4 linked regions of the Elephas maximus indicus genome follow. The protein of the gene in region 1 interacts with the protein of each later gene in a biochemical or structural test. Links are inferred from orthologs where the notes say so. Each region holds a gene or a part of one and is shown in the gene's direction. Other genes may lie near its edges. The genes, in order: SNTB1, SLC16A7, DGKZ and GUCY1A2.

Region 1 (7,639 bases):
AAATAGGGTCTAACTTACCAACATATCGTTAAAAAAAGGATGAAACACATAGCCCCTTAGGAATAATGATTTAATATATACCATGAGATATAAAAAGACTAGCATATGGTTTGTTTCAATAACAGGCTGTTATAGACTAGATGTGAAAGAAATGGAATTCAAAAAGAGAAGGCAGAGGATAAACATCTAACTACTTGGGGCCACCATGAGTTGGAATCGACCCAATGGCAACCGTCAACAACAACAACTTGACTATTCTGCCTTGGCTTAGCCCTGCTCCCGCAAAAGTCCCCACTACAAAATTCTAAACACAGTGAGCCATGAAATAAATCCTCTCACCTGAATGACTGGCTGGTAGATAGTCTAGGCAATAGTCTTTCTAGTTTACCAAGGGCCCACCTGGGGAGTGGCAATGCAGAGTGCTTCCCAACCAATTGATGATGGACCTGTTGGCTGTCTGGGGCACATCAGAGAAGAAAACATCTGCTCAGCCTTCCATTCATGCATTGTTCCTCAGCCTTAGAACTTCACCTCTAAAATAAGAATCATTACCTCAGTATTATGATTTAGAATCTGGAGGGTGGTGATTTCCATATGCCTTTCACACTCAGCACACTCTCTGTGAACGTATCTGTCTTCCTGTCTTAATCGTGTTTGCATTCCTGGGTGCACCTGCTTCCAGCACCTACCTTAGTCCTTTACGAGAGTAACCTGTTGCCGTCAAGTCGGTTCCAACTCATAGCAACCCTATGGGACAGAGTAGAGCTGCCGCACAGACTGCGGCATCTTTCCCCTGAGGAGCAGCTCGTGGGTTTAAACTGCCAAGTTTTTAATTAGCAGCTGAGCGATTAACCACTGTGCCACCAGGGCTCCTGGTAAAGGTTTAGTCAACAGGTATTGACACAGGCAGGCCTTGCCTTAGGAGTTTTGCTTTCCAAGCATCCCTCCTGTTTTTTTCTCATGCTGTTCTCTAATTTACACCCAGCTATCCAAAAAAAAAAAAAAAGTACTCCATTTCCTCTTCTGCACTATTCACCTCGTATCCACTCTTCATACCATAGATTTGAAAAATCTCCCCTAAAGATGTTCGACCAACTCTTCATTCAAAAGTGCCAAAAGTACAATGATCATATTTTGCAAATCTAAGTACTGGAGGACATGTTCAAACCAGTAGAAGTTTACTTAAGGGCTAAGAGAAAGCAATATTTGAAGTCGGGACTGTCCCTGAAAATCCAGTGTGGTTGCTGAAGCTTGAAGGGAACAAGCAGATGGCCTGTGTGGTTATCCTACAAGGCGTTATCTATGTGATCTGGTCCAGCCCATCTCCTGATCTCCTCTCCTGCCTTCATCCTCCTCCCATGGGCTGTCCTAGCCAGTCTGACCTCCTTTTGGTCCTTTAAACCAGACAAGGGTGGTTCTGTCTCAGCTGCTTTGCATTGGGTCTTCCTTCTCCCTGGAAGCCTCTTCTCTGGATTTCCACCAGACTTCCTTCAGCTTGTGATTCATGTCTCAGTCCAATGGCACTTTCTCATAAAGGCTTTCCTGACAGCCATAGCCCCCAGGAGCCCTTGCCCCCAGTCACTCTCGATCCTGTTACTCTGTTTTAGTTTCTTCATGGCATTTACTTCTACACGGAAGTATTTTATGTATGCATCTACAGTCTGTTCCACTTCCACTCTACCACCCACCGCAACGTGAGCTTCGGGGAGCAGGTTGTTGCCCATTTGTCTGCTGCCAAATCCCAGCACCTAAAACAGTACCTGGGACATGTAGGTGCACAACAGGACTGTGGAATAAATGGGTGTAGACTGCTCCTTCTGCCACATGCTGCTGTTCTCTCATGCACCCTTGGCCCCCGTGAAGCTGAGGATTGTGTGACCTGCTCCTCAAGTCTAAGTCCACCCAAAACCTGTGAGAAAATGTCTGTCCCACAGAAAAAGGTATAGCAGGATCCTGGTTCTGGCTGGATGGAAAGGGAAGTCAAAAGCTTAGGACAGAAGAAGGACACAGAATAGGAAACAGGCCTAAGCAAAAACAAACCTGGTTTAAAAAAGGGGGACAAAGGTGATTCCAGGTATATTTTTTGGAATAGTGAAGTTGGAGTGGTAGTCAGGGTAACCCAGACCTAGGCTTAGCTTTGCCACAAACATACCATGTGGCCTTGAGTTGGTATTGCCCTCTCTCATCATATATGCACACCTTATAAAATGAGGGAGTTGAGGTCTCTTAAGTTCTTTACAGTGACCATTTTTTAAAAGGGAAGAGCATTGTTAGCTGCTGTTGAATCACCCTGACTCATGGTGACCCCTTGAACAATGGAATAAAACACTGCCCGGTCCTGCATCATCCCATTGATTGTTTGGGAATCGGACTATTGTGGACCATGAGGTTTTCATTGGCTGATTTTTTGGAAGTAGATCACCAAGCCTTTCTTCCTAGTCTGTCTCAGTTGAGAAACTCTGCTGACACCTGTTCAGCATCATAGCAACTTGCAAGCCTTCACTAACAGACAGGTGGTGGCTGTGCGTGAGGGGCGTGGGCTGGGAATTAAACCCAGGTCTCCTGCATGGATGGTGAGGATTCTACCACTGAACCACTAAGGCCTCACAAGAGAGTATAATCTGTCCTAAGTGTAAGTATCATGGGGCCACAGTGAAGCAGCCCCCCAAGAATTAAGAAATGAGGTAAATACTGTTTCCCTTTGAGAGTCGGTGTTAATAATCAGGGTCCAGATACGCAGAGTGGTCTGCAGGACAAGACATGGCCTCTAAGGCCAGAAGGACAGCAGTCGCCAGTATCAATGCATCAGCGTGTCTAAAAAAAAAAAAAGTGTCAATAACGTGTCCTCTAATATTGGAAAGAAGAGGTCATGGAAACTGCTGGCTCTACTCTTCCACATACTGCCTGGAGAAGGGGCTTTCACCCGTGGTGCTTTGTCCCCAGTGGAAAGGCTGGCCTTGTGTACAGATGGACATAAAGGCTGTAGCTGACATGTTCTGAGTATTTTCAAGAAACAGCGTAGGACAATGGTGAAGAGTCCAGACTCTGGAGTCAGACTGACTGGCTTTAAACCTTGGCTTGCACTTGCTACACGACAGGGACAAGTTGTTAAACCTCTCCATATCTTCACTGGCAAAATGGGAGTGATGAAGGTAATAAGTACCTCCTGGGGTTGCTGGGAGGATTAAGTAAGTTCATATAACTATACGTATTAAGTTAATATAACTACACATATTAAGTTAATATAACTATAATACTAAGTAAGTTAAAAAAAAAAAAAAAAAGTAAGTTAGTACTTATTAACTTATTTAATCCTCCCTGGAACTCCAGGAGGTACTTACTATCTTCAGCACCTTGAACAATGGCAAAGCCATCTCTGGCTAAGATGCATGTCTCAGGCCTAATTTATATTAAATAACAGACTCCCCTCATTCTGGTGCTACTTTCAATAAGCAACCTACCTCTTCCCATGCAGGTTTCCTTCCACAGGGGAAAAAAATGTGTTAATCATAGAGATGCTGAGGATTTCCCAACCCAGAGCCTGTAATTTCTCATGACAAATCAATAAATTATCTCTGCTTGTGCCTAGGCCTCCCACATTGCTTGTCCACAGGGAGCAGATGCAGACACGACGTTGACGGCAGCTTTCTGGTCCAGGGTCGGCTTTCTTTGGATTTCTAAATAAACACACTGGCATTCTAGTGCCTACTCCCATCTTCCCTTGCTTTGGTTAGAAGACAAGCGCTCAGGCTTTAATTTTCCCTGAACAGTGATGTGTATGAGTCCGAAGCTTCTACGGCAAACCCTAGCTGACTTTCCCCGGACAGTGGTACTGCCTACATCAGCTCCCTGCTGATCCTGCACACGGAGGGCTAAAGGGTCCTTGTGGCTGCTGTCCCTGCTGTAGGGGGCCTTTGCACGAAAGAATAAAGAGCCTTGGAAAACCAGCTGGTTAAAAAACTATAGAAAAGGTGGGAGCTCCAAGCAGAAGTAGCCATCCAAAGGCTCCTCCTTGTCAGTCTGCAGTGCTTCTCCCAGCTCAAAAAAAAAAAAGGTTCATTTTCTTCTGTGACCCTGCCTGCAACTCCATGCTTTAGAGATTCGTCTCAGTTTTAAGCATCCTTGATTAAAAGAGTAACTCTTGGAAGGGTCCGAGAACTTCCAATGATGCTGCTACACGTCAATGTGAACCTGTTCTATGAGGCTTCTTCCTCCTGACACCTTGCTTCACCGGGTTTAACCCTGAGGAACTCACCGAATTGCGAGTTATGTTTTGTTATTGCAGAGAGGGGAGAGAAATGTAGGAAGGGGAGATAAATAAGAAGTGTGGAACACTTTGACAGGCCCACGAGGCTTGCTTTGGGTGGGTGGAGAACCAGAGAGGTTCAAGGTCCTGTGGCCCCCCTGCCAGGAGGACATTGAGAGGTTGGCTATAACATGGGTTATGTTGGCTTTTCTGGATTGGCCTGGAAAGGTAACCAATAATTATAATATTGTTACTCTAGAAAGACAATGGTTTAGCTCCAAGCAAGTAACCTGTAAAGGAACTTTTGAGATACAACCCACTGCAACTGAGTTCTTAAACTGGGAGACTTCCTGTACTGGATCTTGGGAAGAAAGTGAAAGCTCCAGAAGGCATTTGGTGTGGCCCTGGGGGGAAAACACAGATCAGAAGCGCAGACCATTTAATGTGTTAGAGATGGACGAGCATTTCTCCTTGGAGTCTGGGGCAGGCAGTGACCTGCTGGAGCCCAGGCCAGCAGAGACTCCTCTCCAGAGGCCGGGTAAGAAAGATATCCCACATCTAAGGAGAGGAGGCGTAGGACGCTCGATTCTACTGACGTTTCACTCTGGGTTCTTGGAATAGCCTTCTCTCCTTACATTTTTTTCCTTACTCTCAGGGAGCCCAGGGCCTCGGTTTGCCTTCCTCCTGACTCCTTGAGGAGAGACGAGCCAGGTAAGAACTTAGCAGAGGAGGCAAGCCTCGGTTTGAGGAAGTCAGAGAGAGGAGACCGGTTCAGGTACACTTGGGGGAAGGAAAAAAAAACAAAAAACAAAACTAGGGGACAATTCCACATTGGTGTGAAAGGGAAGCGGGATCAGGAGGATGGAGTGAAAGTGCTCAGGCAAGACACACAGATCCGGCAAAGCTGCGAGGTGGGGGCCTGAGGAGAAGGGAGAGTTGAGGACGGAGGGCTGGGACCGGGCAGAGAGAAGTGGGACTGGGAAGGCGCGCGGGAAGCGGTCCTCGCCGTCACGCGGTCCGAAGGGGAGGCGGACCGAGTCGGAGCCGGCGGGCGACCGCTGAGCTGCGGCGCTGGAACAGGTGAGCGGCTGCCTGGCAGTCCCCGCCCTTCCGCGAGCGCGCCTCCTCCTGCCACTCTCCCCGCGCGCGCTTCACTGTGCCGCGGCGCCCCTGGGTTTGGGGTTTTGCAATTGAGAGCGGTTTTTTTCCCCCCGTCTCTTTCTCGCCTTCTTCGTTTAGAGGCTCCACCCCGCCCAGGATCAGGCGAGGGGAGTGAGCCCGGCTCCAGCTGCCAACTCGCGGAGCGCGTCTCCGAGCTCCCGGAGCGGAGTCCCGCGTCCCGCCTCCTGACCGCGGGCGCGCCCTCTGCGCTCCCCCAGGCCCAGAGTCCAGCCCCCGCCCCACCCTTCCCCACTTTTCCCCGCTTTGCAATCACATGGCATTTTAAGAATGCCGGAAAGATGGCGGTAGCGGCGGCGGCGGCGGCGGCGGTGACGACCGGGCCGGCGGGCGCGGGAAGCGGCCGGGCGCAGCGGAGCGGACTGCTGGAAGTTTTGGTGCGGGATCGCTGGCACAAAGTTCTGGTGAACTTGAGTGAGGACGCCCTGGTTCTGAGCTGCGAGGAGGGCGCGGCGGCATACAACGGCCCCGGGACCGCCACCAATGGCTCGTTCTGCAGGGGCGCCGGGCCCCCGGGCGCGGGCGGCGCGCAACCCCCGGACTCGCCAGCGGGGGTCCGCACTGCCTTCACCGACCTGCCCGAGCAGGTGCCCGAGGCTATATCGAACCAGAAGCGCGGCGTGAAGGTGCTGAAGCAAGAGTTGGGCGGACTGGGCATCAGCATCAAGGGGGGCAAGGAGAATAAGATGCCCATCCTCATCAGCAAGATCTTCAAGGGGCTGGCGGCGGACCAGACACAAGCTCTGTACGTGGGCGACGCCATCCTGTCGGTAAACGGAGCTGACCTGCGGGACGCCACCCACGACGAGGCGGTGCAGGCGCTGAAGCGCGCGGGCAAAGAGGTGTTGCTGGAAGGTAAGGGGTTAACACGGCGTGGGATGCGCCAGGCGCGCCCACACCCACCGGCACACTCACACCACCCACAGGCTCTCACATCCCGGGAGCATGGGGAGGACAGGTGGCCAGGAGTTTCGACAACTTTTACCCACCTGGGGGTAACTTCTCCAGCGCCTAGAGTGGTGACAGGCTTTGACCCAGTGGGTGTGTGTGAAAAGGCAAGGCTAGCAGGGTGTACTGAGCCCCGACTGCGTGTCACGCACGGGCTGAGTGCTTAGTGAACGCTGTCTCATTCTACCTGGGAATAATCCGAGTGTAGTGGAGAGGCTGGGAACTGGAACGGGAAGCGAAGGGTAGACTCAGACACATTCACCCATCCACGTAGCAAAGTGGGTCCAACTTTTCCGCTTTAACGAAAATTTCCCTCTTAGAAGCCTGGGTAACCCAACTGAAAGAGGTTGAATCATAAAGAGGCCAGAGAGAGGTGGCAACGTTAGAATGCTAAAATTCCAATCACTCTTCTCCCTGTCTCTCCTGCAAATTGGACACTGGGGTTATGCCTAGGGAGTTGTGCCAAGGGCTGAGGAATACGGCGCAGTTTTATGCACCAGTTCACTTGTCCTGCAGGGTGCCGGGCCGGTCAGTCTGGATTCCAGGTTGCTCTGGCTGGAGAAGTGGTTTTTTTTTCTGCCTGCATTTTCCCCGGCTTGTTTTGGAGTGGTGTGGAAACAACATTGCATTTCTAAATAGCTTCCCCGACTTGTTAGGCGCCTTAGAAACTTCTGTCATGAGATCAGAGGCTCCCAGTCCCCTAAGGATTGAATATGAATAGGATAGGAATAACAGTTTAATGTTTGTGGATATGTGGAAGAGAAGGGCAATAGGGTAGTAAACCCATAATTCATTTTCCTTCCCTTTGCAGATACATTGCTCATTTGGAATCTGGCTCTCTGCTCCTCGGCTCTTTGTACATACCTCCTCTGTCAGCACTAACCTTGTATTCTTTTAGTTCCTTACCCAGCCACCCCCTAATTTGAGATTGAGTTGTCTGGGGGTCTTTTATCTGTTCTGGGCCTCCCTTGAGCTTACGTGCTCACCAGCATGCGTGCTGAGTGAGTGAATAAATGAATGCCTAGCCACGGAAATAGAACATGTCAGCAGCGACTTTGTAAACTGGTGGTTGATTGAAGTCCTGAACCAAGGACATAAATCAATTTCCTGCTCACCTCGTGGCAGTGCTGGTGTGTGAAACTGAGAAAGTTCAAAGTAGGGAAACCAACTTTGCTACGAGTGACAGCCAGTGCAACTCCCTGGTACATGGTGGCCCACCTCCAGGCCTAGAATACAGAGCTTTTTTGTTTGCTTGTTTTTTTTTTC
Region 2 (7,419 bases), on another chromosome or scaffold:
TACTATATTTAGTCACCATCGACTCAATCAACAAAATTCGTTGAAAATTAAATACTTATAAGTCACTGTTTAAAGGATCTCTGTCTGAAAAGTTTCTAGTTTATGATGAGAATTCTTAATCTAAGTTTTTAATCTTATGTTTCAGAATAATTAGCATATTCAGAAGAAGGCATATATAAGACATTCGTACTTATGGCCCGTAAAGTTACTTCACGGGTAGTATTAAATAAAATGTAAAATTAGGAAGACATGAGTGGACAACAGTTTAAATGCAGATCCCATTAAGAGATTTTCAGAGGCCCCAAACTAATTTATTTTGGTAAAACACCGCTCTATACTATTTTACTGAAAGGCACGCCATACAGCAATGTTCAACACAGTTGCAGCCCATTTCCCATGCTTTGTAAAATCGACCAGATTTGCATTTCCTGTAATTTTATAAGAGGCTTCCATAGAAATTCCAAAGTAGCCTCTATGGATGTGCTCAGTACTTCTGTAATAATAACCTAGAAGCAGTAGAAAGACTTCTTCCATACTTTGTACCTTCTATCAAGCCAGGCCACAGCAATCATATTCGCAGCTGCTAGCCAGCTGCAATCTTGGTCACAGTATGCTGCTGCTGGATGGCAGGTGCTCGTTTGTTTTCACTCAGGCCGCAGGGAATATTGGGACATTTGATCTTTGTCCTTGGTTAAAACCAATCTTTTGTGTGTATTCTACACACACACACACACACACACACACACTTTGCTCTCACAGAGTCTTGCCATGAAAAGGTTGTTATATGAATTTTGGGTGGTGGGAATGTATTTTTAGTTTTGACTTAAGAACACAGAGCAGTCTCCTAAGCTCGATATTTAAATGGGTCTTTATGCTTTATAAATCTTATTTATAAGCATACTTTTATGCCTTAGGATTTGTGATTTTACTAAGTAACATCTTATTGGTCAGAATAGGCTAGGCTATATTCTGGTGCAGTTCCACTCTGCATACATGGGGTCGCCAAGAGTGGGAGTCGACGGCGACTAACATATTCTGGTGATAAATAATGCCTGAAATCTCAGTGGTTTAAATCTATGATGGTTTCGCACTCACACAATGTCCAGTGCAAGTCTACTGTCTATCTTTAGAATTGTAGAGGGCAGATCATGGATATCATGAGCACCAACAGTCTCTGTCACGTACCTGTTGCCTAAGGTCACACGGTCATCTCTTTCCTCCATTCAGCAAGAATTACTGATGACCTTCTATCTACAAGAATTTGTGTTCGGTACTGGAGGATATAGACATGAGTAAAATGTCATCTCTATCCTCAAACAGCCAAGTGGTTGGGGAGACAGTTAAATAAAACTTATTATAATACAACCATAACTTGAGGCAGAAAGAAAATATGCCCCCCAAAAGCATAAACCATGTTCTATGGGAAGGAGCACAGAGTAAAATGGAATTACTCCTAATTGAGGGAATCCTTGAAAAGCTGCAGAGATGTTGACATTATTTGCCGGGCTTTAAAAAGGGTGGGGAAAAGCTTAGACAAGTTTGATATGGAGGAGAAGGAGGAGAGTAAGAAAAGACAGAGAAATGTGAGAAGACATAGCGTAGCTAAAACACAAAGAAGGGACAGAGAATCTAGAATAAGAGCCCGTGGTATAAAGTGACAGATGAGTCTATAACCAAAACAGTCAAAGACATTTGGGTTTTATTAGTTTATATATTATATACGTGTTTACTAGCTTACTTGTGGAATGTGAGTTGCCAGAATATTGAATATGTTACTATTCTTTGTTTCCCTCATTGTTAATTCATCTTATGAATAGCAATCAAGGCAAAACCAAGCATTCTACCAAAGCATTTCAAATTCTGATCATAGGGTTTGCTTTTTCCCCTAACTGAATTTTTGTTTTTTCAATTCTCAAACAATATTAAGGCTATAAGTCACAGGATAAAGTGATTGGATTTATTCCCACCTACTTCGCCTTTCAGATTCCTTTCTACTCCAACCAAATATTTACAAAGCATGACTTACCGTAGCAACAAGGCGATTGAAAAATAAGTCCCGAAATACTAACTCTGGGCCAGCAGGCAAATTGGATCCAGATTTTTAATTGTCGGAAAAAGAAGACTTAAAAAGAAAACTTGCTAAGGCTATGATACTGTGATATGGGTACTGCTGTTTGGGAGTGGAGCAAGAGGTTAACTGGGTCCAAAACTATGGAGCTATAAAAAACTGAACAGAAAAGAAAAAGCAAAGAGAAGGAAAGGGAGAAAGGGTCAAAATTCAGAAAATAGATGGTTTTTCTTCTTCCCCCTCTTCTTCAAAAGAAATAAACAAAGTGAACGGGCAGGAAATTAGTGAATAGTAAATGTTCAAGAACATGATCTTGAAACCTACGTCTTTTTGTTGTTTGTTTTGAAAGTTTAAGGGGTGTGGCTTGACGTTCTTTTTTGTCATGGAAATTCAGGGTTTCCATTCCGGCACTATCAAACGCCTATTATGTCATATATAAACTCTATTTACTCCTTTTTTTTTAGCATAAGAAAAATTAAAGTCCTTTCTAGAATCTTCTGCCTTAGCTCCTTAGTTTCCAAATTACCCCTCTCTCTGTAAAACTCTCTTCCAAACTATTTGAAAGTATTAATGGCCACCATTTATTCATCTTGTATTATGTGCTGGACACTTCACATATATCATCTCACTTAAATCATAACAGCAACAAAAAGCTGATATTATTTCTATTTTGTAACTAGAGAAACTGAAATTCAAGATTTGTCCGAGCCCACAAATGATCTGTGGCAGAAGATCTTGTAACAATTTGGTCAAGTGACTTCTTTGATGTCAATTTTATAAATTGTGAATAATCACAGTATGCATTTAATGAGTATTATTATTAATTTATTTTTTTTATTAGATAATCCACATAAGTGCTTAGAAAGTGATTAAAAAAAAAAAGGGAAAACAAAACAAAACCAATTGCCATGGAGTTGATTCGGACTTATGGTGACGCCATGTGTGTCAGTAGTAGAATTGTGTTGCACAAGTTTTCAGAGGCTGATTTTTCTGAAGTAGATAGCCAGGTCCTTCTTATGAGGCATCTCTGGGTGGACTCAAACTGCCAAGTGCTTAACCATTTCCTCCACTCAGGAGCCCTGATAATGATAAGCACTTAATAAATCAGTGTAATAATTATTGCTACCATTTTGATTCTGAGTCCCTTAGGTTTCAAAGTTCAGGTTATTTTCGCTCAATTGCCTTGGCTTCACATAAAAGATTTAAGTTTTAGAAAAAACCCTACAAACTTCGAGTGAGTTATATTAGTATCTAGGATTAACATACCATTTTACCTTTTTCATTTTTTAGGAGGATGAATGGGTGGGGGAAGGAAAATTGGCAGAAAAACTGCAATAGTTCTGGAATCCAAGCCCACATTTATTCTTAAGAAGAGTTCCTTTTTCTACAAATAACAATTCAGCCTTAAAAACAGTCATAAGGGTCCAACCTTTTAGAGTTACCCAAATGTTCGTTTCCAGCCCTTCCTCTTTTCCAACTTCCCCAGGAAACATACAGGCACGGGAGAAAAAAAAATTTATATATATACACACACATACACACACACACATATATGTATAAAGGGGAAAGAAACCAAACCAATGACTGCGGAATTACTATTATCCCTAGCACTATTGATTGTCAAATAGCTAGCTCTATTTTGAGGAATTAAATATTTGGGATCCTAAAAATTAATTATTTACAAATGGCCTCCCTCCACTTCTTTGCTATTTTTAAGCTTTTATGGTTTCCTATACTCTTCTGATCTTGCGGTACATTTTCTTTTTCTCTTGAATGAATTGGTTGGTGAGCCTAATCCCCTACTTCTCCTTACTTAAAAAACAAAACAAAAACCCTCAATTAAAATACGTCCCAACACTTTCCCTCCAAGCTCACAATGAGGATCTTTTCGCCGCCAAACACACTTCCAGGCTTTTCTGCAATTGCAAGCTTTCGTCTCCTACAGGTGGCACGTCTCCCTAGGGTATCTAAAACGGAGCTACCTCACCGCTGGCTCCGACGTTAGGCTCGAGATAAAGCGTGTCACGAGCTATGAGGAACAGGAGATCTCTCTACCTGTCTCTGGCTTTCTCTCTTGGTCACAACTAAAATCCGAAGTGGAGCGCCCCGAGCCATAAAGTGTCTGTAGCGGTGACAGCCACTTGGAGCATGCTCAGTCCACCCTGAGTCACTGAGGGGCGGCTTCCTCCCCCGACGGTTGGTGGGGCTCCTGCAAAGCCAGTAGCGTTCTCCCCCAACCCCCATCCATTCCCCCTGGCGCGCGCTCCACGGCACCCACAAGGGCGTTCGTCAGCCGCGCCTCCCCTCCCCGCCCCCTCCTCTTCCTCCTCCTCCTCCTCCAGCTACGGCCGGCGAGGAGACGTCAAGGGACATAAATAAATAAATAATTCCATTCACCCGGTGACAGCGAGGCGAACCGGCTGCGGCTGGGCTGGGGGACCCGAGAGCTGCAGCGCCCATCCTATGCCAGAGACCGAGTAAAGTAAGTACACCGGGAAGGAAGGGAGGAGGAGGCAGGAGGCGCCCGCGCAGAGGAAGGCGAGCGTGGGACTGCGACCGGAGCCGCCCGGGAAGCCTCGCGCGTGTGTAAAAATAATGGCCAGCCTGCGACAAACGCGCCAACGCCAAGTTTGCCAGCGAGCCCTTATATAGACAAAAAGCCCGAAGCTGCCGCCGGAGGAGAGCTAGCGACAGCAGCGCCGACAGCGACGTGGGAGCTGCGGGGGCGTAGCCGGGCGCGGGCGCTCCCTGGTCTCGGCGGTGTGCCCTTGGGGGGTCCCGGGCGGAGAGGAGTCCCGCGCGCCTGCGTGTTTCTGACCAGGAGATGTCCCCCTCTCTGTGCGTGGCCGGAGACTGCCGGCGCGGTGCGCCCCCCCATCCTTGGCCCGTGAGACTGGAGGCTGTTTCCCGTTCTGCGTGCCCCCAGCGCGCGCTTCACCAGCATCCCGCCCCGGCCCACGTGCAACCCGGGATAGCGTCCTGGCAGCAGAAGCTTGGGACGTGGGTGGTTAGAGGTGTAAGGGTTGTCTTCTCTTCAGCTGACCTCAGCTGTTGGGGCGGCTCGGATAGGCTGGGAGGAGAGAAGCTATCAGGGAGGCATCTTTCTTCCTTTTCGGATCCCGGAAGGCAAGGAGGGGGCGGAGGCGGAGGCGGATGGAAAGGTGTGTGGGGGCCAGGAGGGCGCCGGGACAGACGGGGCACGCTGCCATAGAAGCAGCTAAAGAGGGCCTACGTCTGCAGGGCCCGTGCCGGTCTTCCCCGGCGCAGCGCAGCGCAGCGCAGGGGGCATCAGGCCCGGCCAGGTGGCGCGATAGGCTGGCGAGGGCGCTCACGTGTGAACTGCCTCTCAGCAGATGCTGCGGCGTAACTGCGCGCTCCGATTCCTTCTCTTTGCTATTTCCGCGAAAAGGATTGCGGACTGCCTTGGCAAGGGCGGTGGAAGCCAAGGCCACTTTCCTGGTAGGGCTGGGAAGGAAATTTTGTAGTTCTACTCCAGGGAAATTAACAGTAAACATACACACACCCAGCACAGGAGAGGGAACGAGGAGCGGTTTCTCTGCAAGTGTTTTATTGACTACCCTTCCTGGAGAAGTAGAACTGGGCTTGTTACTTGAGGGCGCGTTGGTGGCACTGGGAAAACTAATATTTCAAGTCATCTCCCCTTCCTGGGCCCCGTATTTTTTTTTTTTTTTTTCCCCTTCCTGGGCCCCGTAGGAGACTCAGCGGGTAAATGATGAGGCAATGAGAAAAAGATTGAGCCGGAGAAAATCGTGAGCATTAGTTCCCCTTTCCTGGCACTCGACGCTTTATGGTTAATCCCAAAGTGAGCTCAGAAGGTCGCAAACTTAGCTGCTGCGTTAGATTCAATGTGCTGTGTCATTGAAACCACAAGTACTAAGTGTGCATTTGGGAAGTGTGGCTGAGAAATCAGAACTGGGTGGCAGTTCCAGAGGGCAGATGAGGGTTGAACAAGGTGACCCTTGCTGAAATAATCCTAGCTCAGCTTTCTGCTTGTGAGCACATTACATTAAAACCAATCTAAGTGAGGGGGCATCTGAGTAATGTCAGTGAAAGGGAAGATATTTTTTACCTTAAGCAACTCAGTGTATTGTGTAACAACTCATCAAGTTGGAAACATTTCTTTGCAAATATTCACAGCCAGAGTTTGCAGTTCTGTACTGTTTTTTTTCCACAAGAGGAAATTGAAGTGATCTGAAATTTTAACACCCTTTTCTGTGTTGAAATTGGTGCATCTCTCTGTAAATGCTCAGTTTATTTCTAGACATGCATTTACTTCCTTTTTTTAAAAAAATAATATCTGCCTTATATTTTTGGCCTCCAGCTCTCCTGAAGGGAAGGAGGGTATAGTGATCTAAGGAAATGTCCTGTGTCCAGAATATATTCCTGGATCAAGGATCTGAAAGGGGAAGAAGTCTCCTAAATTTGCTTTTAATTCTGCATTCATACACCAAACATTTTTTGAGGAGTGGAAAAAGATGATTACCTTTAGAGTTGTCAGATCTAGACTTCAGACTTGGTTCTGCACATTTGTATGATTGAGTAATTCTCACAATGTCAGCTTCAGTTTTCATATTCATAAATGGGATTGATGGTACTTACCCTGAAGTGGTACTGTGAGGGATAAAATAATGTGTGTGGAAAACACCTGGAGTACAGACTAGCTATCTCTGAGCTCTTGAAATCATTCCAGACACTGCACTGAGGTTTTAAAAAGAATAAGGTTGGAATTCTGCTGTCTGGAAATTCACATCTAGTCATTCAGGTTAACCTTCCTTATACCTCATTTGCTTTTCAGTCAGTTTCCTTCTCTTCTCCATGGAAGAGGCATATATCCCAAATAATTTGAAAGAAGTTTAGCAGTTGTAAGAAATGCTTGTAGGATCCGCTAAAAAGCAGATTTGGGAAGGGTTGCACCTTGCCCCAGAAATCTGTGTAATCAGCCCCATATTTTGCCCATTGAAAGTGACCCTATATAACAGATAATGAAGGATTTTCTTTGTGCAGTGGAGGGAGGAACTCCTCCTCTGAAGATCATCTTTGCCAAGGAACGGAGAAAAGAAACTGAGCTGCAACTTCTTCTCAACTTTAGACAGACTAATCCACTCACTTCTAGAAGCCTGAGAGTATTAAAAAACAAACAAACAAAAACAAACCTGTTGCTGTTGAGTCGATTCCAACTCATAGCGACCCTGTAGGACAGAGTAGAACTGCCCCATAGAGTTTCCAGGGAGCGCCTGGTGGAGTCAAACTGCCAGCCTTTTTGGTTAGCAGCTGTAGCTCTTAACTGCTATGCCCCCAGGGTTTCCAAGAGTATATAGCGACTATAATAA
Region 3 (6,833 bases), on another chromosome or scaffold:
TGAAGGAAGGAGGCAGTCGTTCATTCTACAAACCTTTCTCTAGGGCCTACCAGGGGCCTCAGGACATGAAGAAAGAGACTGGGGGTGTTCCATCAAGGAGCTCAGAGTTAGGGTCCCTGGCTCAGCCCCCAAGCCTCTGAGGCAACCCCTCGTCCCCTACTTGCCCACCACCCACACACTGTGACTTCGTGTCACCATATCCTGCTGTTAGGTGTCATAAGGAAGGCCATGGAGAGCATGGAGTGGGCAGTGGCACCTAGCCCCAAAAAGGGCCTCCAGCTGTCCCTCATGGGGCCCCTGGAGAGGAGAGGAAGATAGCTGGTGCGATCTCCTCGAGCCCAACAACAAGAAGTGGCCTGGGCCAGCCTGCTCCTATGGTCAGCCCTTGGGTGCAGTACTTGAGATAGGAAGCCCTTGTCTTCCTTGACGGCTTCGGCCCCTGCCCCTCCAAATTCCCTGTGCATTCCTTTTGTGCTGCTTCTGCAGTGGTAAAGACTGGACTCAATGTCAGGCACTGTGCTGGGTGGACCAGATGCACTAAGCCTGGCCCCACACCCCCCAGGAGAAGTGTGGATTTGAAAGAATCAGAGTGTCTAAGGGTCCAGCAGCAGAGGAGCCAAATGGGTAGTGTGGGGTTATCAGTGGGTGCGATGCCTTCTTGGCCGGGACAGTTGTGAGCAAGTGGGATTTTGACACGAGGTGGGAAGGGAGTCCCAGCCAGCGTTCTGGGCAGAAGGTAGCCATGTGCAGGGGCACAAGCCATGAGCTCCGCACAGCCAGACTGGAGGACAGCGAACTGATTGGCTTGGTCAGAGCCAAAGGTTTATGGCAAGGCATCATAGGCTAAACTAGTGCCACAACTGCGGAAACCATTTGCCGGGCTGAAGGGCTTAGAATTCACAGTGAACCTGTGGTCCTGGAAGTGCCCTAGATACTTTCAGAGGATTGGTGAGGTTAAAACAGTTTTCACTTATATCATCCTGAGACCAGAAGAACTAGATGGTGCCCGGCCACAACCGATGACTGCCCTGACAGGGAGCACAATAGAGAACCCCTGAGGGAGCAGGAGAGCAGTGAGATGCAGACCCCAAATTCTCATAAAAAGACCAGACTTAATGGTCTGACTGAGACTAGAGGAATCCCGGCGGTCATGGTCCCCAAACCTTCTGTTGGCCCCGGACAGGAACCATTCCCGAAGACAACTCATCAGACATGGAAGGGACTGGACAGTGAGTTGGAGAGAGATGCTGATGAGAAGTGAGCTACTTATATCAGGTGGACACTTGAGACTGTGTTGGCATCTCCTGTCTGGAGGGGAGATGGGAGGGGAGAGAGGGTTAGAAACTGGCAAAATTGTCACGAAAGGAGAGACTGGAAGGGCTGACTCATTAGGGGGAGAGTAAGTGGGAGTATGGAGTAAGGTGTATATAAGCTTATACGTGACAGATTGTCTTGATTTGTAAATGGTCACTTAAAGCTCAGTAAAAATTACTAAAAAAATTAAAAACAGTTTTCATAACAATAAACCCAAAAACCCATTGCTGTCCAATTGATTCTGACTCATAGTAGCCCTATAGGACAGAGAAGAACTGCCCCATAGGGTTTCCGAGGCTGTAAATCTTTACGGAAGCAGACTGCCACAGCTTTCTCCATGAGATGTTATTTGCCTGTGTTAACGTTTTTGTACTGATGGTGTAAAAATAATGGTGGGTGAAACCGCTGGAACCCTAACACAAAGCAAGGCAGTGGCCCCAGCGTGTTGGCAGTCACTGTATTCTTCTCTCCATGCACTTGCACTTGAAAGAAGAAAAGCAGTAAGAATTAACTGTAGAAAGTCGTGATGGCAGAATACTGTGTTTGTAGTAGTCTGTACGAAGACATGTGAATGTCCCCATAAAGGCCTCCTGCTGCAGACTATCCGTGACGGCTGCCTTAAGTAAAAGCCCTGTGCGGTTGTTTGTGTTACAAGCTGTTCTAGCTCCTTTTTTAAAATTTTTTATTTTTAAAGGAACACCATCTTCACTTGCAAGAACACCTGATAGACAAACTATTCAGACCTGGGTATTCGGCAGACGTTTTCTCGGTAATGAATGAGGTGAGCTTGTCACTTCCAAAACTGTCAGTACCAATGATAAAATTTGAGCCTTTGAGCATGAATCTGAATTTTAGAAACCTTGCATTCACTTTCTAGAGCCTGACAGCTTCCCAGGGCTTAAAGACTCTTCTGATGAGATCAGTAGTGGTGCTAGTAGGTATGATTTTTTGTGTCATAGAATGAAACGTGCCAACATTGGCAGATCTGCCGAACTCTAAGTAAACCGTATTTTCCACTGACCAGTGCTTGATGTTGCAGAATTCAGGGTGCGAGAATGAGCCATGAAAAGTTCCTTGATAGGGTTTCAGAGTCCACATTGCAGCTCAACTTTCAGAAACTACCATTTGTCACATTTTGGTGTAGTTGTAAAAAAGAGCATCCATAATTATCTGAAAAGGCTATTAAACTGCTTTTCCATTTTCTGACTCCATGTCACTGTGAGGCAGAATTTTTCTTCTCACACTCCAACCAAAACAGCATCTCAGCAGGTTGAATGCAGAAGCAGCTCCGCTAATCCAGATGTCTTCTGTTCAGCCAAACGTTAAACAGATTTACAGAAACGTGAAACCATGCCACTGTTCTTACTAATCTTTTTTTTTTTTTAGGAAACATAGTTTATTTTTCATAAAAGTATGTTATGTTCACCTGTAATGGGTTTATTACTGTTTTTAAATGAGTTAATAAATACCTTAAACAGTTCTCAGTTTTAATTTCTCATATGGTAAAATTAGTAGCTATAACCCACAGAAACAAAATCTCCTTAGGGTCTTCAAAAATTTTCAAGAGCATAAAGGGTCGCCATGAGTTGGAACTGACTCGATGGTAAGTGGTTTTTTTTTTTTTTAAATCCAAAGATCCGGAAGTTTGGGAACTGCCACTCTGGACCCTAGGGAGCCATGGCAGGAGTGTGAGTCAGAGAGTAGCATTCCAGGCAGGTGATACACATGTGGCACGAGTCGGGGCAGCTTGGAATGGCCCCCTTGTCAGGGCCGGACAACCCAGGCTCCAGGGTCCCAGCTCAGCCACCTCTGAGCTTGGGCAGTCACAGGCCTCCCCAGGTCAGGTGCCTCATCTGTTCCACCGGAAAGGTAACACTGCCCCCACAGGGAATGATGAGCCTCCCGTCTGATAATGCTTGTGTTGTGAAAAAGTGCTTTGGAGTTGTGAAAACACCCCACCGGTATTTATTTTTGTGGTTGTCTGGAGCCGGTGTGCTTAGCTGTCTCAGATGCTTTCCTGAGACTCTAGGAAATCTGTCCAGAGGACATGAGAGGGCGGCAGGTGGCTGGGCACTGGGCTGCACACCTGGCCTCCGCGTCTCCTGCCCTGGACCTTTTGTGGAGGGGAGGCTGTTGCGCTGTCACTTAGCCCAGCTCTGGGGACTTTAGGAACAATCAGAGCTGCTTGTGCCCGCCCACCCGCTGTCTACCCGCTGCAGGGCCTGGAGCCGCCGCTGGGAGAGGAAGTGCAGTTGGTTACCAGCTGGGTTATTTTCATAACGGCTGTCTCAGGCTGGGGGAGGGGGCAGAGGCGCAGCCACCTCAGCTTGCTGCTCTCCAAACTAGGACTTGCTCAGCCAGAGGCCGGCAGCACAATTGGGAGCAGAGCCGGGCTTGCCCACCCTGGGGACCACAGCCCCACCCGCTTGCCCACCTCCTGCGTGCCGCCCTGCCTTCCAGATCAGGTCAAAAGGGGCTCCCCCTCCCTCCCTTCCCTTCTGCTTCCTCCCTCCTGTATCTGCTGGGGTGGGCCTGGGGAGGGGTGGGTCAGGGTAGGCCCAGGAACCACCATCCTTAGGTGAGGGTCTTGCCGTGCCAGGCTTCTGAAGCTGATGGAAAAGGAAAGGGAAAGGACAAGGGGCAGGTCAGGCTCCTGCTCCCAAGCCAGGGAGGTAAACATTAACTGGCCTGGCCACCTCCTCTACCCCCTGCCTAGCCTGACCCTGTGGCCATGGCCCAACCGCCCGCATTGCCCATCTCTGTCCTGTTCTTAGCAGCATCTCTTTAGTGGGTAGATGCCTTGGGGAAGCCGAGACCCTGCCTCAGCGGCCCCCAGGTTGGCCTGGGATCTGCAGGCTTCTCCTGCAGCTGTACCTGCCTCCTCCCGTCCGGCAGGACCCTGGGGCTGTGAGAACAGAGACCCCCGAGATGGCTTCTGGCCAGCATCCTCCTGGGGAGGCAGCTCCAGGCCCTTCCTTTGGGGCTGCCGGAAGGGGCCACCGCCCACCATTCAGTGAGCATAGAGGCAGTGGGACCCTGCCCACAGCAGGGAGAGGGCACTCTGTGGAATCCCTCAGGTTGTCCTGTGCCAGCTCCTCAGGAAGAATCCATGGCCTAGGCCTGGTATCAGGGGAGGTGGGCATTCCTCACACATGAGCAGACAGACACCCAGGTGGCACTGGCTGCAGGCTCTGTTCCTCATGTGGTGGGTGGTGTCCACCCTGGGTGCTCCTGCTTCCCTTTCTTGGTTTCCCACCCCTGCAGTGGGCAGAGACAAACTCCAGGGGATGGCGTGATCCGCATGTGCTGGTGCCTGTGGCAGGTGATAGGCCCTGCCCTGCCCCTGCTCTGCCAGGTACCTTACATCCATCATCTCATCAGAACCCCCCTTATGCCACCCCTCTAAACTAGGTGGTATGATCCCCATTTTGCAGATGAGAAAACTGAGATTTAGGAAGGTTCGCTCATCTGCCCGTGATAACACAATGGTAAATGGCAGATGCAGGATTCCAAAGACCTTGGGCTTTTGCACTTGAAACTAGTATAGCTTGTGAGGGCACTCTGGACCAGGGGGCGAGGGGTCCTGTGCTTCCTGGCTAGTAGCTGACAAAGCTAGGGTACTCATGCCCTCTCGGCTGCCTGCAGCCACACTTGCTATTCTTCTTCAGGAGTGCTTGGCCAGGCACCACTGTCCTTTGTCCTCCCACAGGCCCTGCCCTCTCCAGACCCCCAACAACAGCTGGACATTGATGGGGCCCCCTGAGACCCTGTCCATCCTATCCACTCAGGCTTCCCCAGGCTCCCCACCAGCAGACTGAAGAGCAGCCATTTTGCTGGGCCATTGGTGTCGGAGCCCTGTGGGGCCTCCCCAGTAACTTTTACACATACTGTGTGGTATGTTGAAGGTGACAGAGAGGATGAGGTGGGGAGAAGCTATGCTCGGAACTGCGCTCGGGGAAAAAGCTCCAGCCTGGGTAGGGGAAGGGCCAGGAGAGGCCTGAGGCCAGGCTGGCTGTGACCAGACCCAGGAGAAGCTTCAGTAGAGATAGGAAGTCAGGAGTCAGGCAATTACTGACCAGAGGACAGAGGTTTCTGTGGAGACCAGAGGAACAGGAAGCATGAGGCCTGGGGGAGGGGACATCTGAGAGCACAGAGGCTTGAGGGCCTGGCCAGAGATCTGGTCGTACACTGTCATATCAGCTAGTCTAGCAGCCTCCCCAGACAAACAAGGAAACTGAGGCCCCTGAGGGGACACCTTTCCACATGGTCACACAACACTGGCCTGACCTGCCTCCCTGTCCACTGGGAGTGACTGCACCTTGGGCAGCCAAGGAGGCCCTGGACAGATGTGGGCTTGGGCCCCCTGGCAGCATGCAGGGTGGCACACTGTGACAGCATCTGTAAGCTACCACCTGTGTCATGAGGGAGTATGTGCAGGAACCCTCTTCCTCCTGGCCACCTTGCCAGTGTGGGTCTGGAACAGCAGGGAGGCCCAGCCCTCCCCACCACCCATAGAGCACCGACGGCACCTCCCCCACACTGACTGTGGCCTTTTGTTTTCTGGGTGACACTAGCATCAGGCGGTGTGTCCGGGTGACTAATCTCCAGGCTGGGCAGCCGTCACAGGGCAGCCTGACCAGACAGGCGGAGAAAGCTGACACCCTGGAGGAGCGCTGGCCAGCCAGTGTCCTGGCAGAAGTAGGCAGGCAGGCCTTCCGGTTCCTCTTCCCTGGATGCAGAGCTGACCCCTGGGCAGGCCTGACCCTGGCCAGCCCAGGGAGCAGAACCAAGCCAGACAGACCTGGCTCAGGTCCTGGCTCTGCCCCCAGCTGGCCCTGTGACCTTAGGCATGCTATTGCCCGCTTCAGGCCTCAGTGTCCTCATCTCTGTGACAGAGCTCTTGGTTCTACCTGCCTTACGGGGTCATGGTAGGGCTCCAGTGAGATGATAAAGTGCCCAGCCCAGAGCCTCTCACAGAGTAGGAGTTCAGTAAATGCGTGGTTATTTTTCTAACTGCGATTCCCATCCCTACTCCATTCCTCATGGTCCAAGAGGAGAGACCCTACTCTCTGTCCCATCTCTGGGGTGCAGGGGGCAGGCTTTGCCCTCAGATGGACTTAAGTTCTACATTGCCTCCACCCCTGTGGACTTTGGGTAGATTACCTCTCTGTTCCTCAGACTTAACACAGTGCCAGACTCAGCAAATGCCAGCCATGATGATATGGATTTTAGGAGGGAGCCATGTTCTCTGCCCTCCAGCTCTCCTGCCCTGGAGCTCAGACTGCTCTGCCCTTGTCCCTATCATCTGCAGGGTCTGGGAAGCATAACAGGCAGGGACAAGAGCCAGGCAGTATCCAACACAGCTTCCCCAGGCATGGCTGCCTCCACTGCTCACTAGTGAAAGGATGCAGACACCTCGGCCCTGTCCGCCTCTCCCTCGGTCTCCCTGCACTGTGCATGGCTCAGACCCACAGCCTCAGTAGGAAATCAAGACAGTGAGTGAGTGAGAGGAGAAGGAA
Region 4 (6,995 bases), on another chromosome or scaffold:
GAGTCCTCGGGTGTCCTCACCAACTGTACCAACAAACCAAGTACATTCTTGCATTTTCCTTTTCCAAGAGAAGACTGTATGTTAAGGACTTCATTGTAACACCATATATCTAACAGGGCCAGATTTGTGGGCATGAGTTTGTGTGAGCTTGGTTTCCTAAAATCAGAACGCAGGCTATTCATTTTCAATGGACTACTCTTTGCCTAAAGTGTTTGGACTCCTTTTACCAGCTCTAGAACTTTTTTTTTTTTTTTTTGATGGAGACTAGGTTATGCTGCCTTTTAAAAATGTTAATTCAAGTATAGTAGACAGCATTCCTCATATTGAGAGCTTTTGAACTCTGCCACTGAACAGGAATACAAAGGAAGCCCTTAAAAGCAATGCAGATGATATACTGTCTACATCTAGGCCTCTGTTTATAGTTTGCAAAAGCAGTGGGAAAATCATGATCAAAGGCAGGGTAATTCATACAGAAAATTGTAAGACCACTTCATCTGGCTAGATTCTCTAAAGTCTTTGATTCAAATGGTTTACACAAAGGAAAAAATTCCTCCTAAGTTCAGAGTTCTTTCTGGCAATAAATGTTCAGTATAAACAGGAAGACTGCTTGAGCCTCTTGTAAATTTTAGGAACAAATGACACTCATTGCCTTGCACTCAGTAATTTGACTTTGAGACAAGAGTTAGAATGATTAGGAAAAAGTTCCTGTTCCAAGGTCAATGAAAAAGTTACTTGCCATTACCATAATTAGAATTTTGTATGTGTGTATATGCACAACAGTAGTTTGTTGAAAGAATGTGAAGGGGATATGCTATTTAATATCCTTAATAATAGCTCTAAGATTCTATGATTCTAGAGAACTTGGCAATTAAATTATCATAACTAAATAAGAGAACTAGGAACTCCGATTTTTATCCTGTCATTGATACTGCACAACAAGAATATTAAACAGTTTCCCCAAAGCTGGAATAATATAATTTTCAAAGAAACCATCCATTCTAATTCAGAAAAAAAAAAAAAGCCAGTCAAAGTTTTTAGCAGGATTGATGCTTGATGCCTAGTCTTTACTTAAAAAAAGTGTAATTTGTGCATAATTGCCATGGAAACAAATAGAATGAAGTAATGGAGAAATCTCAAGTAGATACGCCACACATTTATTTTAAAAGAGAGCCCTCCTGCTAGGGGACCTGGTCTTTGGGGACACCTAGGTCAGTTGGCATAGCACAGTTCATGAAAAGAATGTTCTACCTCCTGCTTTGGTGAGTAGTGTCTGAGGTCTTAAAAGCTTACAAGCAGCCATCTAAGATACAACTATTGGTCTCATCTTGACCAGAGCAAAGGTGAATGAAGAAAGCCAGGAAGCAATTAGTCCAAAGGACTAATGGAGCACATAAACGACAGCCTCCACTAGCCTCATACCAGAAGCACTATATGGTGCCCAGCTACCACCACTGACAGCTCTGACCAGGATCACAATAGAGGGTCATGGACAGACCAGGAGAAAAATGTAGAACAAAATTCAAATTTACAAAAAAAGACCAAACTTACTGGTCTGACAGGAACCCCCCAAGACTATGGCCCCTAGACACCCTTCTAATTCAGAACTGAAGCCACTCATGGATTCCACCTTTTAACCAAATATTACACAAGTCTATAAAACAAACAATAACGCCTGCAAGGAACAATCAAGTACAGGTGACCAAAAGGGCAACACCTGCTCCAAAGTAAGGCTGGGAAGGCAGGAAGTGGCAGGAAAACCAGAGGAATGGAGATGAGGAACTGGGGTGGAAGGGGGGTGAGTGCTAACACATTGCAGGGACTGCAATCAATGTCAGAACAATTTATGTCTAAATTAAATTTTCACCTAAGAACAATTAAAATGTTAAAAAAAAACCCCTCCTGTTCTGAATTTCCTCTGCTGAGAAACTAGCTATGCAGTTAGCAACTTAATCAACAGGCTGAAGAATTTTTTTTTTTTTTTGAAGGGAAGAATGTGTTCGATAGTACACACTTTTAACATCTTTTACTTCCATCTAAGATCTGGGAATAAGATACGTCTCTGAATAAGGCTGAGTGGACTTTTTCAAAGTATATGAAAAAAAAAAAAACTTGAAACATTCTCATTTATCTGGGTCCTCATAAACAATGGGAACATTTAGAGTTAAAAGCAAAATAGAAAGAATGCACATCATTTTTTTTTGTTTTGCTTTTTCTCTTTTTTATAAATGCAACCCGCAAACCCATCTGTCTTCACCTAGAAGGACCAGCATTTTAGAAAGCGCATTGGCCTCTGTGTGTCTGGGAAGCTGAAGTCAGAGCCACTGAACTTTTCTTCCGGGCGGCAGGGAAAGGCGGGGGACGCTGAAAGATGGAGGACGCTCATCTTTTTTGCCACAGAGGGAAGCGCAGCCTAGACTCCTCTTTTGAGACACTCTTATTTGGCCCCTTCTTTCTACTCCTTACCCTAAGGGCAGAACGACCAAGGCTCTTCTGGGGCTAAAGCAAGCGCAGTGGAGCCAGACGCTGGGAGCGACTGCTGGTTTGCAAAGAAGCAAGCTTTGGAATAAAGCAGCTCCGCGGCAAACTGGCGGCCAGAGGTGTGCTCGCGCTGTGGTGTGTCTGTTGCTGAGCTTTGAAAAGCCTTTCCCCTCTCTCCACTCTTGCATTTTGAGCAGCATTTGTAGCCCAGTGCAAACGAATCGCATATTTGGCGCCAAGAGCCCAGCAGACTAGGGACCGGGCATCACTCCCTGGCCTCCCCCCGGGCCCGGTCCTAGGTAGTGGAGCCTGTAGCGAAACTGCGCGAGCGCCTCTGCCCGAGACGTCAGCGAACGCGGCTGCAGGTGGCAAGGGGAGCTGTCCAGCACTAGTGCGGAGCCCACCAGCCACCGGCGGGAGCCAGGCGCCCAGCGCGCCCGCCAGGCTGAGGCTCAGCAACAGGGCTCCTTCGGAGCAGACCCTTCCCTCACTCACTGTCTCCCGCCCTGAGCTCCCTGCGCGCCCACGAGGCCTCGCTCGAGACAGGGAACGCAAAAGAGTCGTGTTCCCAAGAGCTGCTCCAGCCGGATGGGCGCCAATATGTTGCCCCTGCCCTTCCCTTCCACTGGAGCGTGTCCTGTGGAATCGGCGGGCTGGACCGCTCAGTTTTTCCCCTCCGCATCGGAACTTTCCAATTAAACTCGGAGGAAGGCGGGAAAAGGACAAACATGGACCCTAATCCCCCACTTCGTGTCCTCACGCGTCTCCGAGGTGTCTCCAGAGGGAGGTCCCCGCTACCGGCCCCGCGCCCCTCTCCCCTCCAGTGCCCGCCGGGGCCCGTCTGCACCCCGGTTGCCTCTCCCGGCCTGGGGTATAGGGTGTTTGGGGCTGGACCCCTCGGTCGGGTCGGAGCCACGGTGTTCTCTTCCTCAGAGCTAGGGGATGGTGGGAGCAGGAGGGCGCGCAGAGGACGGCAACGAAGTGTCCTCATAGCTCCTGAAACGTGGCGACAGGCGAGGCAGAGACTCCCAATGAGTATGATGGCGACACGTGATACCGGCGGAGGGAGAGCATGGGGGGGGGGATAAAGAGAGAAGGAGGGAGGCGGGAGGAGAGGGGCGGGTAGAGAGAGGGAAGGGGGGCGAGATAGGCGCGCAGGCAGCAAAAGCCTCGGCTTCGCCGTCCGCGCCGGCCGCAGCCTCCCCGCCCCGCCGCTTGCGGTCTCACGCGAAGCCTCCCCGAGCGGGAGCGCGGCGCACGGTGATGCGCCGAGGCGGGCGCTGAGGCGGCGCCGCGCGAGCAGCAGCAGAGGCGGCGGCGGCCCCCAGCCCAGCCCGGCGCGGCCACCGCGCCCGGGCCCCAAGGTGCGGCGGCTCCCCCCCGTTCCCGCCATGAGCAGTCGGCTCGGGGGGCTCCGCGGCCCTGGGGACGCCCGCCCAACCGAGCGCGACCGCAGCGCCCCGTGGCCCCGACGCGCTTAACGCCGCCGCTCGCCGGTCCCGCTACCGCCGCCGCCCGCGTCCCCGCCGCCGCCGCCGCCTCGGCCGCCGCAGCGCCGCCCGCAGCATGTCTCGGAGGAAGATTTCGTCCGAGTCCTTCAGCTCGCTGGGCTCCGACTACCTGGAGACCAGCCCGGAGGAGGAGGGGGACTGCCCCCTGTCTAGGCTCTGCTGGAACGGCAGCCGGAGCCCGCCCGGGCCGCCGGAGCCTCGTGCCGCCGCCGCCGCCGCCCCGGCCCCGGCCGCCTCCGCCGCCGCCGCCGCCGCCGCCACGGCCGGGGCCAGGAGGGCGCAGCGCCGGAGGCGGGTCAACCTAGACTCGCTGGGCGAGAGCATCAGCCGCCTGACGGCGCCCTCGGTGAGCAGGGGCGGAAGGAGGGCCCGCGCTCCCGGGGAGAGGACAGGCCGGGCAAAGTTGGCGCAGGGCGAGCCGGGGCGTGCGCAGAGCCCACCGCTGGGGGGCGGCCCGGCTTCGCCCCGCCCGGCCTACGGTTACTGGCGGCCCCGGGCGGGACCCGAACCCCTGGGCTCTGGTGGGGTGGGGGGTTAGAGGACGGGAAAGGAGTAGGACTGCACTCTTTGGGGTCTCCTGATCCGAGGGCCTGCCTGACCACCTCCGGTTTTAAGCTGTCCTTCCTCGCTGTCACCCCATTCAGCCCCTGCCGCACCTTTACACCCACCTGTTTTCTTTCTCCCAAACTTTCCCAGTCTCTGTTCCGCAGTTTCCATTTACATGTCTCGCATCCCTTTTCCAGCATCCCGAAGGAGCTCCAGCTCCTTCCGGGAAACCCTTCCTGTCTTTTTTCCCACACTCTCTTGGTCTTAGCATGACCTTGTCTGGCATCTTTGAATCCCACAGGCTATATGCATTCAGCGTTGCATCCCTTTTCTCAGATCTTCAGGAACTCTGTCAGATACTTTTCTAAGTTGCCTTCTCGTGAAGACACCTCTAATCTCTCTTTTTCTCTCCACCCCATAGCTTTTTGTCCTACTCACTGGGCATTTACTGGCTACACCTTCTCTGTGTAAACTAGGTGCCTGGTTTTCTAAGTCTCTCTGGTATTTCTTGCATCCATACTTCATCCTTCATGCTCCCTTCTCTCCTTCTTTCATGACTTCCTTTCACAAATATTTGTTGAATGAATACATGCCTTCCTGGACCTCTTGAAACTTGTGCTCATTAAGGGATGTCTGTATCGGCAATTCCAGGTGAACACCAGACTCCCTCTGGTTCTAGGCATCCTTCCAGAACAATATTGCCTCATTCCTGCTCAGACATTTTCAGCAACCCTTGACTTTTACCGTTTGCAGGATCCCAGACCTCTTGTTTTGGTCTTTCCCTGTCTGAGTGAGCTCTGTTTTCAAGAATCCACTCTAGTGTAGACGGAATTGAAGGAGAAGGAAATGTTGCCTGCCTGCACTCTTCCTTTTCTCTGTTCAGTGTCAGACTTCCATCCTCCACTTATCCTCACCTTGACCTTGGTTGGCTACAAGGACTTTTAACTCCTGACAGCACTCTCACTTGCCTACCCTGAGGCTTTTACTTCCTCAAAGTTACCGGTATGAACCTGAACATTGATCTTGTTTGACTGCTTTTGTGTTTTCCTTTTAAAACTACTCTTGCAGATGGTAGGAGGAATGGAAGAGGAGTGGGATCCTGAAGGATTCTGCCTAGTGCCAGGTAGTCCTAAAATGTTTAGGCCCTTGCACTAATGGAGAAGGGCATTTTCTTGACTAGAGAAATTACTCTTTGGGTCATCTTCCTCTTGTGTGTTTTTCCCTTTAATTTACCTTCCTTATTGATAACCTAGGAAACAAAGCTCAGGAGGGGTTGACTACTATTTGCTTTTCTTCACTGCAAATATTTCCCAGGAAGCATAATCTTAGGAGCTATTTAGTGTTGCATATTATTGAACATAAGCCTTTATAAAAGGAGTCCAGTCCCTTTGTGCAGCTGTAGTTTTGTGTCTGTACCTAAAGCAGCATTTGTGCAGTTTGGGATACTCATCCTTTAGTATGTTGCTGTCGTTAGGTGCTGTTGAGTCCATTCTGACTTATAGCGACCTGATAGGACAGAGTAGAACTGCCTATAGGGTTTCCAAGGAACAGCTGGTGGATTTGAACTGCCGACCTTTTGGTTGGCAGCTGAACTCTTAACCACTACACCACCAGGGCTCCTCCTTCAGTATATTTGGTTCAAATTTGATACAGTGATTTTACTAAAGATGATTATTAGGTTTTTCTGAATTTTAAAATAATACTGAAGTTTTCTTTTTGCCTAAGAATCAGAATTTACAAATTTGCAAAAAGTAACAGTGGTGCCTCTGGCCATACCAATTTAACTTATGACTAATTTCAACAACTTAGATGAGGATGAGAGCAAATAAGCCTAACTCAGATATTTATTGCTGAATACCAAAAAAAAAAAAAAAAAACCCCATGGCGGTTGAGTTGATTCCAACTCATAGCGACACTATAGGACAGAGTAGAACTGCCCCATAGGATTTCCAAGGCTGTAATCTTTATGGGAACAGACTGTTAAATCTCTCTACTGCGGAGCGGCTGCAATCTCCAACCTTTTGATTAGCTGCCCAGCGCTTAACCATTGCGCCAACAGGCTCCTTTACTGAAGACTAAGAGGGAGGAAATGGTCTCTGTGTGATACCTTTATAAATAATAGTCAAATGACTTGGACTTTTTGGTGGATCAAAAACATATATCAGTTAATAATTTCCAGAGTAAAAAATTTCAAAATAATTGCAATGATCAAACACATGCAACAGCTCCCATGTACTTTACATGCCCCAATTTATTTCTATTTTGAAAAGAGTCTGTCAGGTGAAATGCTGGGAACCTACAGGTGGGAACATAGTATAAACATTTTCCACATTGTAGTGCATGTCTGAATAGAGTCTCATTGGCCACTGGTGTCACCAGTAGACTTCGTGTCACAAAGAAAACAGAGAGTTAGATTTCAAAGCAATGAACTCTTTTCTCTGTGTTCCTATCCCCGTTTTC

The links.
Region 2: the proteins of SNTB1 (region 1) and SLC16A7 interact in a test that uses a peptide from one of them, tested with the Homo sapiens proteins (2 studies listed by IntAct, with this or other methods). The link is inferred for Elephas maximus indicus from reciprocal best matches to the Homo sapiens genes SNTB1 and SLC16A7.
Region 3: the proteins of SNTB1 (region 1) and DGKZ form a complex in vitro, tested with the Homo sapiens proteins (2 studies listed by BioGRID and IntAct, with this or other methods). The link is inferred for Elephas maximus indicus from reciprocal best matches to the Homo sapiens genes SNTB1 and DGKZ.
Region 4: the proteins of SNTB1 (region 1) and GUCY1A2 interact in a test that uses a peptide from one of them, tested with the Homo sapiens proteins (2 studies listed by IntAct, with this or other methods). The link is inferred for Elephas maximus indicus from reciprocal best matches to the Homo sapiens genes SNTB1 and GUCY1A2.

What each region holds. Positions count from the first base shown.
Region 1 is NC_064833.1:21,924,170-21,931,808, forward strand, and holds the start of SNTB1 (beta-1-syntrophin), read left to right. Parts: upstream 1-4,619; 5' UTR 4,620-4,784; intron 4,785-4,901; 5' UTR 4,902-4,957; intron 4,958-5,360; exon of another isoform or gene 5,361-5,485; 5' UTR 5,486-5,706; coding exon 5,707-6,280; intron 6,281-7,639. UniProt on the Homo sapiens protein: Adapter protein that binds to and probably organizes the subcellular localization of a variety of membrane proteins. May link various receptors to the actin cytoskeleton and the dystrophin glycoprotein complex.
Region 2 is NC_064822.1:119,685,475-119,692,893, forward strand, and holds the start of SLC16A7 (monocarboxylate transporter 2), read left to right. Parts: upstream 1-4,407; 5' UTR 4,408-4,550; intron 4,551-7,419. UniProt on the Homo sapiens protein: Proton-coupled monocarboxylate symporter. Catalyzes the rapid transport across the plasma membrane of monocarboxylates such as L-lactate, pyruvate and ketone bodies, acetoacetate, beta-hydroxybutyrate and acetate.
Region 3 is NC_064825.1:101,845,810-101,852,642, forward strand, and holds the start of DGKZ (diacylglycerol kinase zeta), read left to right. Parts: upstream 1-3,820; 5' UTR 3,821-4,615; coding exon 4,616-4,669; intron 4,670-6,833. UniProt on the Homo sapiens protein: Diacylglycerol kinase that converts diacylglycerol/DAG into phosphatidic acid/phosphatidate/PA and regulates the respective levels of these two bioactive lipids.
Region 4 is NC_064825.1:12,795,949-12,802,943, forward strand, and holds the start of GUCY1A2 (guanylate cyclase soluble subunit alpha-2), read left to right. Parts: upstream 1-3,980; 5' UTR 3,981-4,044; coding exon 4,045-4,335; intron 4,336-6,995. UniProt on the Homo sapiens protein: Has guanylyl cyclase on binding to the beta-1 subunit. Isoform 2 acts as a negative regulator of guanylyl cyclase activity as it forms non-functional heterodimers with the beta subunits.